3 linked regions of the Callithrix jacchus genome follow. The main gene of each other region encodes a partner of the protein of the gene in region 3 in a complex. Links are inferred from orthologs where the notes say so. Each region holds a gene or a part of one and is shown on either strand. Other genes may lie near its edges.

What was found.
Region 1: EFTUD2 (region 3) and GPKOW share a complex: the UniProt entries of both Homo sapiens proteins name them as parts of the minor spliceosome. The link is inferred for Callithrix jacchus from reciprocal best matches to the Homo sapiens genes EFTUD2 and GPKOW.
Region 2: EFTUD2 (region 3) and SNIP1 share a complex: the UniProt entries of both Homo sapiens proteins name them as parts of the minor spliceosome. The link is inferred for Callithrix jacchus from reciprocal best matches to the Homo sapiens genes EFTUD2 and SNIP1.

Annotation. Positions count from the first base shown.
Region 1 is NC_133524.1:49,668,935-49,672,587, forward strand, and holds part of GPKOW (G-patch domain and KOW motifs-containing protein), read right to left. Parts: intron 3,605-3,653; coding exon 3,480-3,604; intron 992-3,479; coding exon 882-991; intron 1-881. UniProt on the Homo sapiens protein: RNA-binding protein involved in pre-mRNA splicing. As a component of the minor spliceosome, involved in the splicing of U12-type introns in pre-mRNAs.
Region 2 is NC_133508.1:74,105,543-74,109,195, reverse strand, and holds the start of SNIP1 (smad nuclear-interacting protein 1), read left to right. Parts: upstream 1-707; 5' UTR 708-771; coding exon 772-995; intron 996-2,208; coding exon 2,209-2,311; intron 2,312-3,653. UniProt on the Homo sapiens protein: Required for pre-mRNA splicing as component of the spliceosome. As a component of the minor spliceosome, involved in the splicing of U12-type introns in pre-mRNAs. Down-regulates NF-kappa-B signaling by competing with RELA for CREBBP/EP300 binding.
Region 3 is NC_133506.1:85,259,489-85,262,209, reverse strand, and holds the end of EFTUD2 (116 kDa U5 small nuclear ribonucleoprotein component), read left to right. Parts: intron 1-220; coding exon 221-374; intron 375-1,187; coding exon 1,188-1,295; intron 1,296-1,635; coding exon 1,636-1,731; 3' UTR 1,732-2,090; downstream 2,091-2,721. Other genes in the region: HIGD1B (HIG1 domain family member 1B), read right to left, coding at 2,607-2,671. UniProt on the Homo sapiens protein: Required for pre-mRNA splicing as component of the spliceosome, including pre-catalytic, catalytic and post-catalytic spliceosomal complexes. Component of the U5 snRNP and the U4/U6-U5 tri-snRNP complex, a building block of the spliceosome.

The sequences.
Region 1 (3,653 bases), on a different chromosome or scaffold from region 3:
TCTTCAGAGTTTGCAATTGCAAAGAAAGGGTAGTAAGTCTGCATGACAATAGTAAATGTTTAGTCTATGCTTTCTTGGGGCCAGGACCTACTGTATGTGCTTTACGTATATAATTTCTTTTCTTAAAATTAATTAATCTTTTGTAGAGATGGAGCCTCCCTATGTTGTCCAGGCTGGTCTCAAACTGCCAAGGTTAAGTGATCCTCCTGCCTCAGTCTCCCAATGTGCTGGGATTACAGGCATGAGCCACTACCTGGCCTATATGTATAATTTCATTTAACTCACACAACAGACCTGTGAAGTCAGTATTACTATCCCCATTTTTCAGATGAGGAAATTGATGTCCCCAGAGGCAAACTTTATAAAAATAGGATTCTATTACAGTATTCTGAAGGCCAAATGGGAGTTTAAAACAGAAGTGGAAGCCAGGTGTGGTGGCTCACGCCTACAATCCCAGCACTTTGGGAGGCCAAGACGGGTGGATAAGCTGAGGTCAGGAGTTCAAGACCAGCCTGGCCAACATGGTAAAACCCCATCTCTACTAAAAATAAAAAATTAGCTACTCGGGAGGCTGAGGGAGGAGAATCACTTGAACCTAGGAGGCAGAGGTTGCAGTGAGCTGAGATCACGCCACTGCACTTCAGCCTGGGCGACAGTGAGACTCCATCTCAAAAAAGAAGACAAAACAAAACATTCCTCTCCCTTTGTGGCTAAAATAAAAATAAAATAAAACAAAACACAGTAGTGGAAGGAGCTGCTGAATTAGTTAGGGCAATAATGTATCCTCCCTCCCTGCCTGGATGGTTCCAGTTTGGCAGTGATCCTGGGGATCTTGATCACAGCCTGATCTGTCTGTCCCCTTACCCCATCCCAGAACTCACTGATTGAAGGTGCGACCGATGCCCTCGCCAGGTTTCCAGCCCATGCCCCGCAGCATGGCCAGCCCATAGGCCTCCACAGGGACCACCTCATAATTGGCCTCCTCTGGCACCTACAGGTTCAGGCAGAGGAAGGAGGGTCAGTATTACTTATATTGGGTCCTCTATTTGAAGTGCACTTGCTGCCACCCACTGTGTGACTTGCTATGTGTCTTTTCCAATCAGCTCAAGGGTGACTTTTGATTTCCTCTTTCCATCCCTCACTGTACTCCTCCATATTCAGTCCTTCAACAAATATAAAGCACCTAATCTATGGCAAATACTGTTCTAGGTACTGGGGATGAAGCAGTGAACTAAACAGACAAAAACCCCTACCCTTGCAGAGCTTCTAGTCTAGTACTGGAGACACACTATAAATAAAACACAGAGAACATGATGTGTCAGGTGGTGAGGTAAAGAACAAGAAAGCAGGGTAAGAGGATGCAGAGGGATGGAGAGGGAGTGCCACTGGGTTGAGATAACAGCAGAGGGAGCCATGAGGATATGAGAAGAAAGTGTCCCAAGCTGAAAGCACTGTAATAGCAAAGGCCCTGAGGCCAGACAAGGCTTGGTAGGTGTGAGGAGTATCACGAAAGTCACCATGATGGTGAGAGTAGAGAGCAGAGAAGGGTGGCGAAGAGACTAAATTAGGAAAGCTGGGCAGAAGTCAGAGGACCCTGAGCCAGGTGGGAGCCACAAGAGGGACCAGTGAGGAAATTACTATAATAGTCCAGATGAGACATGCTGGTGGCTCAGCCCTTTGTGGTGGTATTGGTGGTGGTGAGAAGTGGTCAGTTCTGGGTGTCATTATGAAAAAAGATGATAGAATTGTGCTGGCAGATTGGACGGGGCATGAAATAAAGAGGGGAATTGAGAATGACTCCAAAGATTTTGTTGTTGTTGTTTTTGGTTTTTGAGATGGAGTCTTGCTCTGTGGCCCAGGCTGGAGTGCAATTGTGCAATCTCTGCTCACTGCAACCTCCGCCTCCTGGGTTCAAGCGATTCTCCTGTCTCAGCCTCTGAGTAGCTGCAATTACAGGCGTGCACCACCATGCCTGGCTAATATGTGTACTTTTCGTAGAGATGGGGTTTCACCGTGTCGGCCAGGCTGGTCTCGAACTCCTGACCTCAGGTGATCCGCCTGCCTCAGCCTGCCAAACTGCTGAAATTACAGGTGTGAGCCACCATGCCCAGCTGTCTCCAAGGTTTTTAAGCTGAGTGAGAGGAAGGATGGATGAAATTTTGGTCAGTTGAGATGCGGAAATCTGCAGGAGGAGGTTTATAGAGGGAAAAATTAGAGGAATGAGGCCAAAGCTGGAACAGGATGAAAGGATGAAGAGTGAAGTGGGATCTTTTTTTTTCTTTAAAGATAAAGGAGCTGGGCACAGTGGCTCACAGGTGTAGTCCCAGCACTTGGGGAGACCAAGGTGGGTGGATCACTTGAGGTCAGGAGTTCAAGACCAGCCTGACCAACATGGCAAAACCTTGTCTCTACTGAAAATACAAAAATTAGCCAGGTATGGTGGCGCACATCTGTAACTGCAGCTACTCGGGAGACTGAGGCAGGAGAATTGCTTGAACCCAGGAGGGGTAGGTTGCAGTGAGCCAAGATTGCACCACTTCACTCCAGCCTGGATGACAGAGCAAGACTGTGTTAAAAAAAAAAAAAGATGAAGGAAATAACAGTTCAGTCAAAAGGGAGAGTGGTCTGCAGGTGTAGGAGAACTAGACTCCAAAGAAGCAGTGCAAGAAATTTATGAAAGAAAAGGTGAAAAGTCAGGTCTGCGGGTATGAAAGACAGACTTGGTTACTTCTGTAGAAACACCTCTAACCTCTTCCCTTGTCACCTCCCATCATCACTCTTTCACATTCACTCCAGAGATACAAGTTGCCACACCGATTTTCTGCTACTATGTCATTGCTTAGGCTGTTGCTACCAACAGGAGTACTCACTCTGTTTGTTCTTCCCTCTCTTACTAAACCCTGCTTATCCTTCCAGACCACTCTGGTCTATGCCCCCAGCATCTCTAGCCTGGACTAAGCCCCTTGCTTCCACCTTCACTAATGATTCTGTTCACAGCAGCCAGGGGGATGCTGTCAAATTATAAATCATATTTCATCTCTGCTCAGGGCTTGTCCCTGCTCTCACCCCACTCAGAGTAAAAGCCAAAGTCCTCACAATGGCCTACAAGGCCCTGCCTGGTCTAGCACCCTGTCTCCTTTCTGACTTCATCTACTATCCCTTCCCCTCACTCATTCCACTTCAGTCACACTGGTCTCTTTGGTGTCAGCAAACACTCTAGGCAGTGTCTACCTTGAGGGCCTTTACATTTCCTGTTCCCTTTGCTGCACATCTCATTCAGATAATCCTAGGATTCAAGTACTTTTTTAGCATCCAGGTATCCAGATTCATTTGGTAATGCTTCCGAAAAGGATGGCAAGAGAAGGGGCAGGTGGCGGGCCTCTAGCACACACAGACTTTCCCTGCTACGTGCAGGGACACAGCGTGGCAGACAGGGCAAAGAAAGGCTGGGGCAGAAGGGGGACAAGGGGCCAGCTCACTGTCTCAGCCCGGGGTTCGCTGTCTGCCCCTTCCCCGCTGGGGGTGCATCCTTTCTGGATCATGGGGATAGCAAGCGTGGGGTTGACATGCGCATTCTCTCTCTCCTCCAGAGACTTCTTGGATTCTAAGGGAAGAACAGGAGGGAGCAATGAGGTCCCACCCTATCCTTCCAC
Region 2 (3,653 bases), on a different chromosome or scaffold from region 3:
CACCCAGGCTGAAGTGCTGTGGTGCAATCCCCGCACGCTGCAACCTACGCCTCCTGGGTTCAAGCGATTCTCTTGCCTCAGCCTCCTAAATAGCTGGGATTATAGGTTTGCACCACCATACCAGGCTAATTTTTGTATTTTTAGTAGAGACAGGGTTTCACCGTGTTGGCCAGGCTGGTCTCGAACCCCCGACCTCAAGTGATCCGCCTGCCTCAGCCTACGAAAGTGCTGGCGTGAGCCACCACGCCCAGCCCTGCTCTTTTTTTTTTTTTTTTTTGAGACGGTTTCGTTCTTGTAGCCCAGACTGGAGTGCGGTGACGCAATCAGCTCACTGCAACTGCAACCTCCGCCTCCCGGGTGCATGCGATTCTCCTGCCTCAGCCTCCCGAGTAGCTGGGATTACAGGCGCACGCCCCCATGCCCAGCTAATTGTTTTGTATCATTAGTAGAGACGGGGTTTCACCGTGTTGGCGAGGATGCTCGCCTGACCTCAGGTGATCCGCCAGCCTCGGCCTCCCAAAGTGCTGGGATTACAGACGTGAGCCCCCGCGCCAGGCCAGAAGTTTGTTTTTGAAACCCGAAACTCCTGCCACCAAACCTAGTCACTGACCACGCTCACTGGGGAGTCGTCACCTGTTTAATCTCTCTGCCGCGAAGATATATGGGAACCGGGGCACCCCGGAAGCGGAAATCCAGGAGTCAAACACGTCATTTCCTTCAGCTAGAGGAGCTCAACGGATCTGTTTTCTTTCGCTCAGGCAAAATCACAGAATGAAGGCGGTGAAGAGCGAACGGGAGCGAGGGAGCCGGCGAAGACACCGGGACGTGGATGTGGTGCTGCCGGCGACGGTGGTGGTGAAGCAGGAGCGTCTCAGCCCGGAAGCCGCCCCTCCCGCCCACCGTCGTCCGGACCACTCCGGCGGTAGCCCTTCCCCGCCGGCCAGCGAGCCGAGCCGCCCGGGCCACCGCGGGAACCGAGCCCGAGGAGTTAGCCGGTAAGTGGGGGAGCAGCCCAGGATGGACCTAGGGTTGGGCTCATTCAGAAAGGCGGGCAGGGCTAGCGTCCGAAACGGGTTTTGAATGCTGGGCGCAGCTAGCCCGGACCTAATCCAGAGGCGGTTGAGAGTGATCCAGTCGTGCCTGTGTTATGCTTGCTCAGTCACTTGCATGATAGCTCGGTGTTCAACGCCTAATGCCTAACTGGCAGGATCCCGTCCCTCCATTCTTGTGTCCCCAGCACTTTGCAAAGTGTGGCTCAGCAGGTAGCACAGATAATCTGTTAAATTGGAATGAGATTCTCCTCATCCCGAATGGAGGAATGGAGTGCGGGCGTTGTCTTTACAATTACCTGCCCAAAAAGTTTTCACGTCGACAGAAACTAAAAAAAAAAGTTCACATAGATTTATGCGTTCCTTCAGCGTAGTTTTACTGAGTGCCTGTTAAGTGTTAAAAGACTGCCCTAGGTTTTGGGGCTGCAAGGGTGATTCAGTTAGATGGTCTTCACCGTTTCCAAATCTAGCCCTGAGACAGACAATAACAAGAAATAAATAAAGTGGGTTTCAGTTAGTAACAAGTATTATTGACAGGTTAAAACAGTACTGTGATAGTGAGAGATTGGAGAGAAGAGGGAGGAGGCCTCTAAAGAGGTGCCATTTGAACTGCGACCTGACTGATAGGAATGATCCAGCCTCTGAAAGATCCAGGCAGAGGAAACAACATGTGCAAAGCACTTGAAGTAGAATGAATCATGATTGAAATGGGAAAAAGCCAGTGTCAGTGGAGTATAGTGGTCAAGCAGGTGGGTGGTAGGAATGAGATGGTATAGGCAGGAAGCAGAACCACAGGATGGATAAATTGTTATTGATGGTAGGGGTGTTGGTAGTGAGGGGTAAAGAGTCAAAGGTGACTTCTGGATGGTGATGCCAATTAACAAGATGGCAAAGAGTAGGAGAGGAAAGGTTTTTGAAGGCTTGGGAACTAAGAGCTATGTTATCTAAGTGAGAAGGTTCAGTAGAGAGTTGTCTTTGTGAGTGTGGAATGCGAGGGAGATGTTAGGGCTAGGAAAGTGAACCTCGTGACTATAATGTGTCTGTCAGAGACCTTCACAAATGTGGTGTTTGTGTTAGTATGTAAGCCTGATACTGGAAGCTAATTTTTATGGGGGAAGGGAAATTGAGTAAAATCCTGTATGTACCATGCTTTGTATAGGTCCCCACCCAAAAAGAAAAACAAGTCCTCAGGGAGAAGAAGCAAGTCTCCTCGGAGTAAGAGGACCCGAAGTCCTCACCACTCAACAGTCAAAGTGAAGCAGGTAAGTGGATTGGGGTGTTTTGATGTTGGGGCCACATAGAGAGCCTTTTCCTATCATAGCTAGAGAGGGCTGTGTATGTGTGTTGTGTGTGTGTGTGCACGCACACTCGCCTACATTTCTACTTGTACTTCCAATGGGCTTTTCTGAAAATTGGGTATATTTCTTTTTTTCTGCTTGTTTGCTGAAATTCACCTTTTTATTTTGAGATTATTGTTGGTTCACATGCAGTTGTCAGAAATAATTCAGAGAGATATACTCTGCCTGGTTTCTCCCAGTGGTAACATCTATTCATAACAGAACTGTGGTACAGCATCACCATCAGAATATTGACATCAGTATAGTCAAGATAACATTTCCTTCACCACAAGGAATACCTCCTGTTCTCCTTTTGTAGCCACACCCACTCATCTCCCACCTTTATCATTCTTTAACTTCTGGCAACTTCTAATCTGTTCTTCATTTCTGTAATGTTTTCATTTCAAGAATATTACATAAATGGAATCATACAATGTGTAACCTAATTTAGGATTGTCTTTTTTTCACTCAGCAGAATCCTTCAGAGATTGATTCAGGTTGCATCTCTCAGTAGTTTGTTCCATTTTATTTCTGAGTGATATCCAATAGCATGGATTTAGCCACTCACTCATTAAAGAACATCTGGCTTGTTTCCATTTTTTGGCTATTACACATAAAGCTGCTATATAGACATTTGTGTATAGGATTATATGCGAACATAAGAGTTCATTTCTCTGGGATAAATGCTCAGAAGTGCAATTGCTGGATTGTATGGTAGTTGCAGGTTTAATTTTTTTAAGCAATTACCAGACTGTTTTCCAGAGTGGCTGTATTAGTTTACTAGGGCCACCATAATGAAATGCCATAGAGTACGTGGTTTAAACAACAGAAATTCATTTTCTTGTAATTCTGGAGGCTAGAAGTCAAAGATGAGGATGTTAGCAGGTCTGGATTCTCCTGAAAAACATCCTCTCTCCTTGGCTTGTAGATGGCTACCTTTTTACTACATCTTCACATGATCTTTCTCCTGTCCTGGTGTCTTTTCTCAGCCATATTGAATTAGGGCCCTACGCTCATTTTAACTTAATCAGCTCTGTAAAGACCTCATCTCCAAATACGGCTATTAATACATTCTGAGGTACTTGCGTTTGGTACTTCAACAAGCTAATTTTGGAGGGCACAATTTAGTTCGTAACAGTGGCTGTACCATTTTATAGTCCCACCAGCATTGTTTGAATGATCGGGTTTCCCTGTATCACCATTTAATGTTAGCACTTTATTTTAGCCATTCTGATAGATGTGTAGTGGTATTTCATTGTGATTTTAA
Region 3 (2,721 bases):
TTCTCCAAAATAAAAATAAAAAAAAAAAACAACAACTCAAGACCACAGGAAATTACACTGAGAGCCCCGAGCTTTTTCTGCTCTGTATAACATTCTTGGTTACTCTTTCTTTGATGGTAACTCTGGGCTGGGATGCATTTGGGAACAGCCAATGGCAGATTGCTTCTTGTCTTTTGGCCTTTGTATAACTAGAGACTCGGCCTTTATTTTTTTGTCGCAGGGGGCACGTGACTCAGGATGCACCCATTCCAGGCTCCCCTCTGTACACCATCAAAGCCTTTATCCCAGCCATCGACTCTTTTGGCTTTGAAACTGATCTCCGGACTCACACCCAGGGACAAGCCTTTTCTCTGTCTGTCTTCCACCATTGGCAGGTGAGAAAACATCGCAGGCTGGCTGGCTGCGTTGGCCTCACACCTCTGCAAGCCTCATCCCCTTCTGTCCTGATCCCCCTCCAAGCCCTAAGTGAGATGTACAGCATCCTAGAGAAGAGTCCTCTTCTGGGGAGCATATATTCAGGGCAACTTGAATCTGTGTCTCTCAGTTTAAAAAAAAAAAAAAAAATAGAGGACCAGCACAGTGGTTCACACCTGTAATCCCAGTACTTTGGGAAGCCAAGGCGGGCAGATCACGAGGTCAGGTGTTCAAGACTAGCCTGGCTACCATGGTAAAACCCTGTCTCTACTAAAAATACAAAAAAAATTTAGCTGGGCACAGTGGTGGGTACCTGTAATCCCAGCTACTCAGGAGGCTGAGGCAGGAGAATCACTTGAACCCAGGAGGCAGAGGTTGCAGTGAGCCAAGATCGCACCACTGCACTCTAGCCTGGGCGACAGAGCAAGAGTCCGTCTCAAAAAATAATAATAATAATAAATTTAAAAATAAAATAGGGACTAACACAGAGAAACCCTGTCTCTACTAAAAATACAAAATTAGCCGGGCATGGTGGTGCATGCCTGTAATCCCAGCTACTCAGGAGGCTGAGGCAGGAGAATTGCCTGAACCCAGGAGGCAGAGGTTGCAGTGAGCCGAGATCATGCCATTGCACTCCAGCCTGGGCAACAAGAGCGAAACTCAGTCTCAAAAAAAATTTTTTTTTTTTCTGTAAAATAAATAAGAATCCTGCTTCTGGGCCCAAATCTTCTGGGGAGTCTGCCTGGGCCATCTGAAATTCCTTTGTCTTTTAGATTGTCCCTGGTGATCCTCTGGACAAGAGCATTGTCATTCGCCCTTTGGAGCCACAGCCGGCTCCTCACCTGGCCCGGGAATTCATGATCAAAACTCGTCGTAGGAAGGTATGTCTTCCTTGGGCCTGTTACCATCCCTCAACCCCCCAGAACTCTCAGAAGTAGGATCTCTATGTCTGTCTTTTGGCCCCTTTTCCTAAAGGACCCTTTTCCAATGTAAACATGTGATCTGTATACTCTTGAGGCAACTAGACCTGGGCCCTAGTCTTGCTGTGGAAGGAGAGCTTTATCCTCCTATATGATAGTACCCTGAAAGCAGGGCTGCTGAAACAACACCACCTACATTCCTGCTACCACTAGCCTCACTGAGCGCAGGTCTTGGGTGGCCTCCCCACTCAGTCTGCCACCACCTCGGGCTTTCTTGTATTTTTCTTGTATTTTTCTGCAGGGCCTCAGTGAAGATGTGAGCATAAGCAAATTCTTCGATGATCCTATGTTGCTGGAACTCGCCAAACAGGATGTTGTGCTCAATTACCCCATGTGAGTGCACGGACTCCTGGCAGCTCCTGCTCCCTACAGTGAGTTGCAACTCCTGCACTTGAAGCTGAGACCTGGTATGACATGGCCTTCGTGTTGTTAGAGTGTCTGGAAGCTGCTGTTGGTGTCTTGAACAACTCACCAACCTCTAACCCAGAGCGCCAGTGAGAGAGGAGCATTTGGCCTCCTGCTTCCTTCTGTGCCCTCTGCCAGGCTCCATTTCCAAGGAAAGAGAGGAGTTTGCTTGGACTCACAGAAAGAGAAGCGGGGATGGAACCCCCCCATCTTTGGTATTTACATGGAATTTTATTTTCTACAAGTTTGACCTTCGCCATGGTTTGCAAGTGAACAGAACATTTTGACCTCTGTCTTGCTCTGTTCCTTTCATCCCCGTCTCCCCTGCCCCATCTGGTCCTGGTGCTTACATTCTGAATATATGTCATCTCCCAAGAGGCTTCACTGCCTCTGCTTCCAGCTGCAGCCTCCTTCCTGCCTGAGTCCCCAGGGAAGCAGCCTGCCTTTTAATTCAGTGTTCTCATGAGTATCAAGGCCCTGTTTTTGCCCCCTTGCTCCCACTCCATGCTGCTTCAGGGTGGGACCTAAGATGGCTTGGGAGTTGTTGGTTCCTGGGATCAGAGGTCTACCCCAGCACCTCAGGAAATTGCTGTCCCGCCCCCCAAGAATCTCCCTTGCCCTAGGGTATGGGGCCAGAGCACTGATTTCCAGCCATTTGCTCTAAGTCCTCTCCCCAGCCACCACCAGTCCCTTACTCTGTTCTCCCCAGTGAAAAAGAGTCTGTTGATTTTCCTCAAAACTGCTTTATTAGAAACATACCAGGGATTGATTTAGGGAAGTCGGACTGCCTTGGCTCCTATAGGAGTCCTACTTCTCTCCAACGTCCTGTGCCATCCTTTTGACATAATCGCTATACATTGTGTACACAGTCCCTGTGTGAGGGAAAAGAAGTCATGCCCCTTGGCATTGAACCCTTCACCCA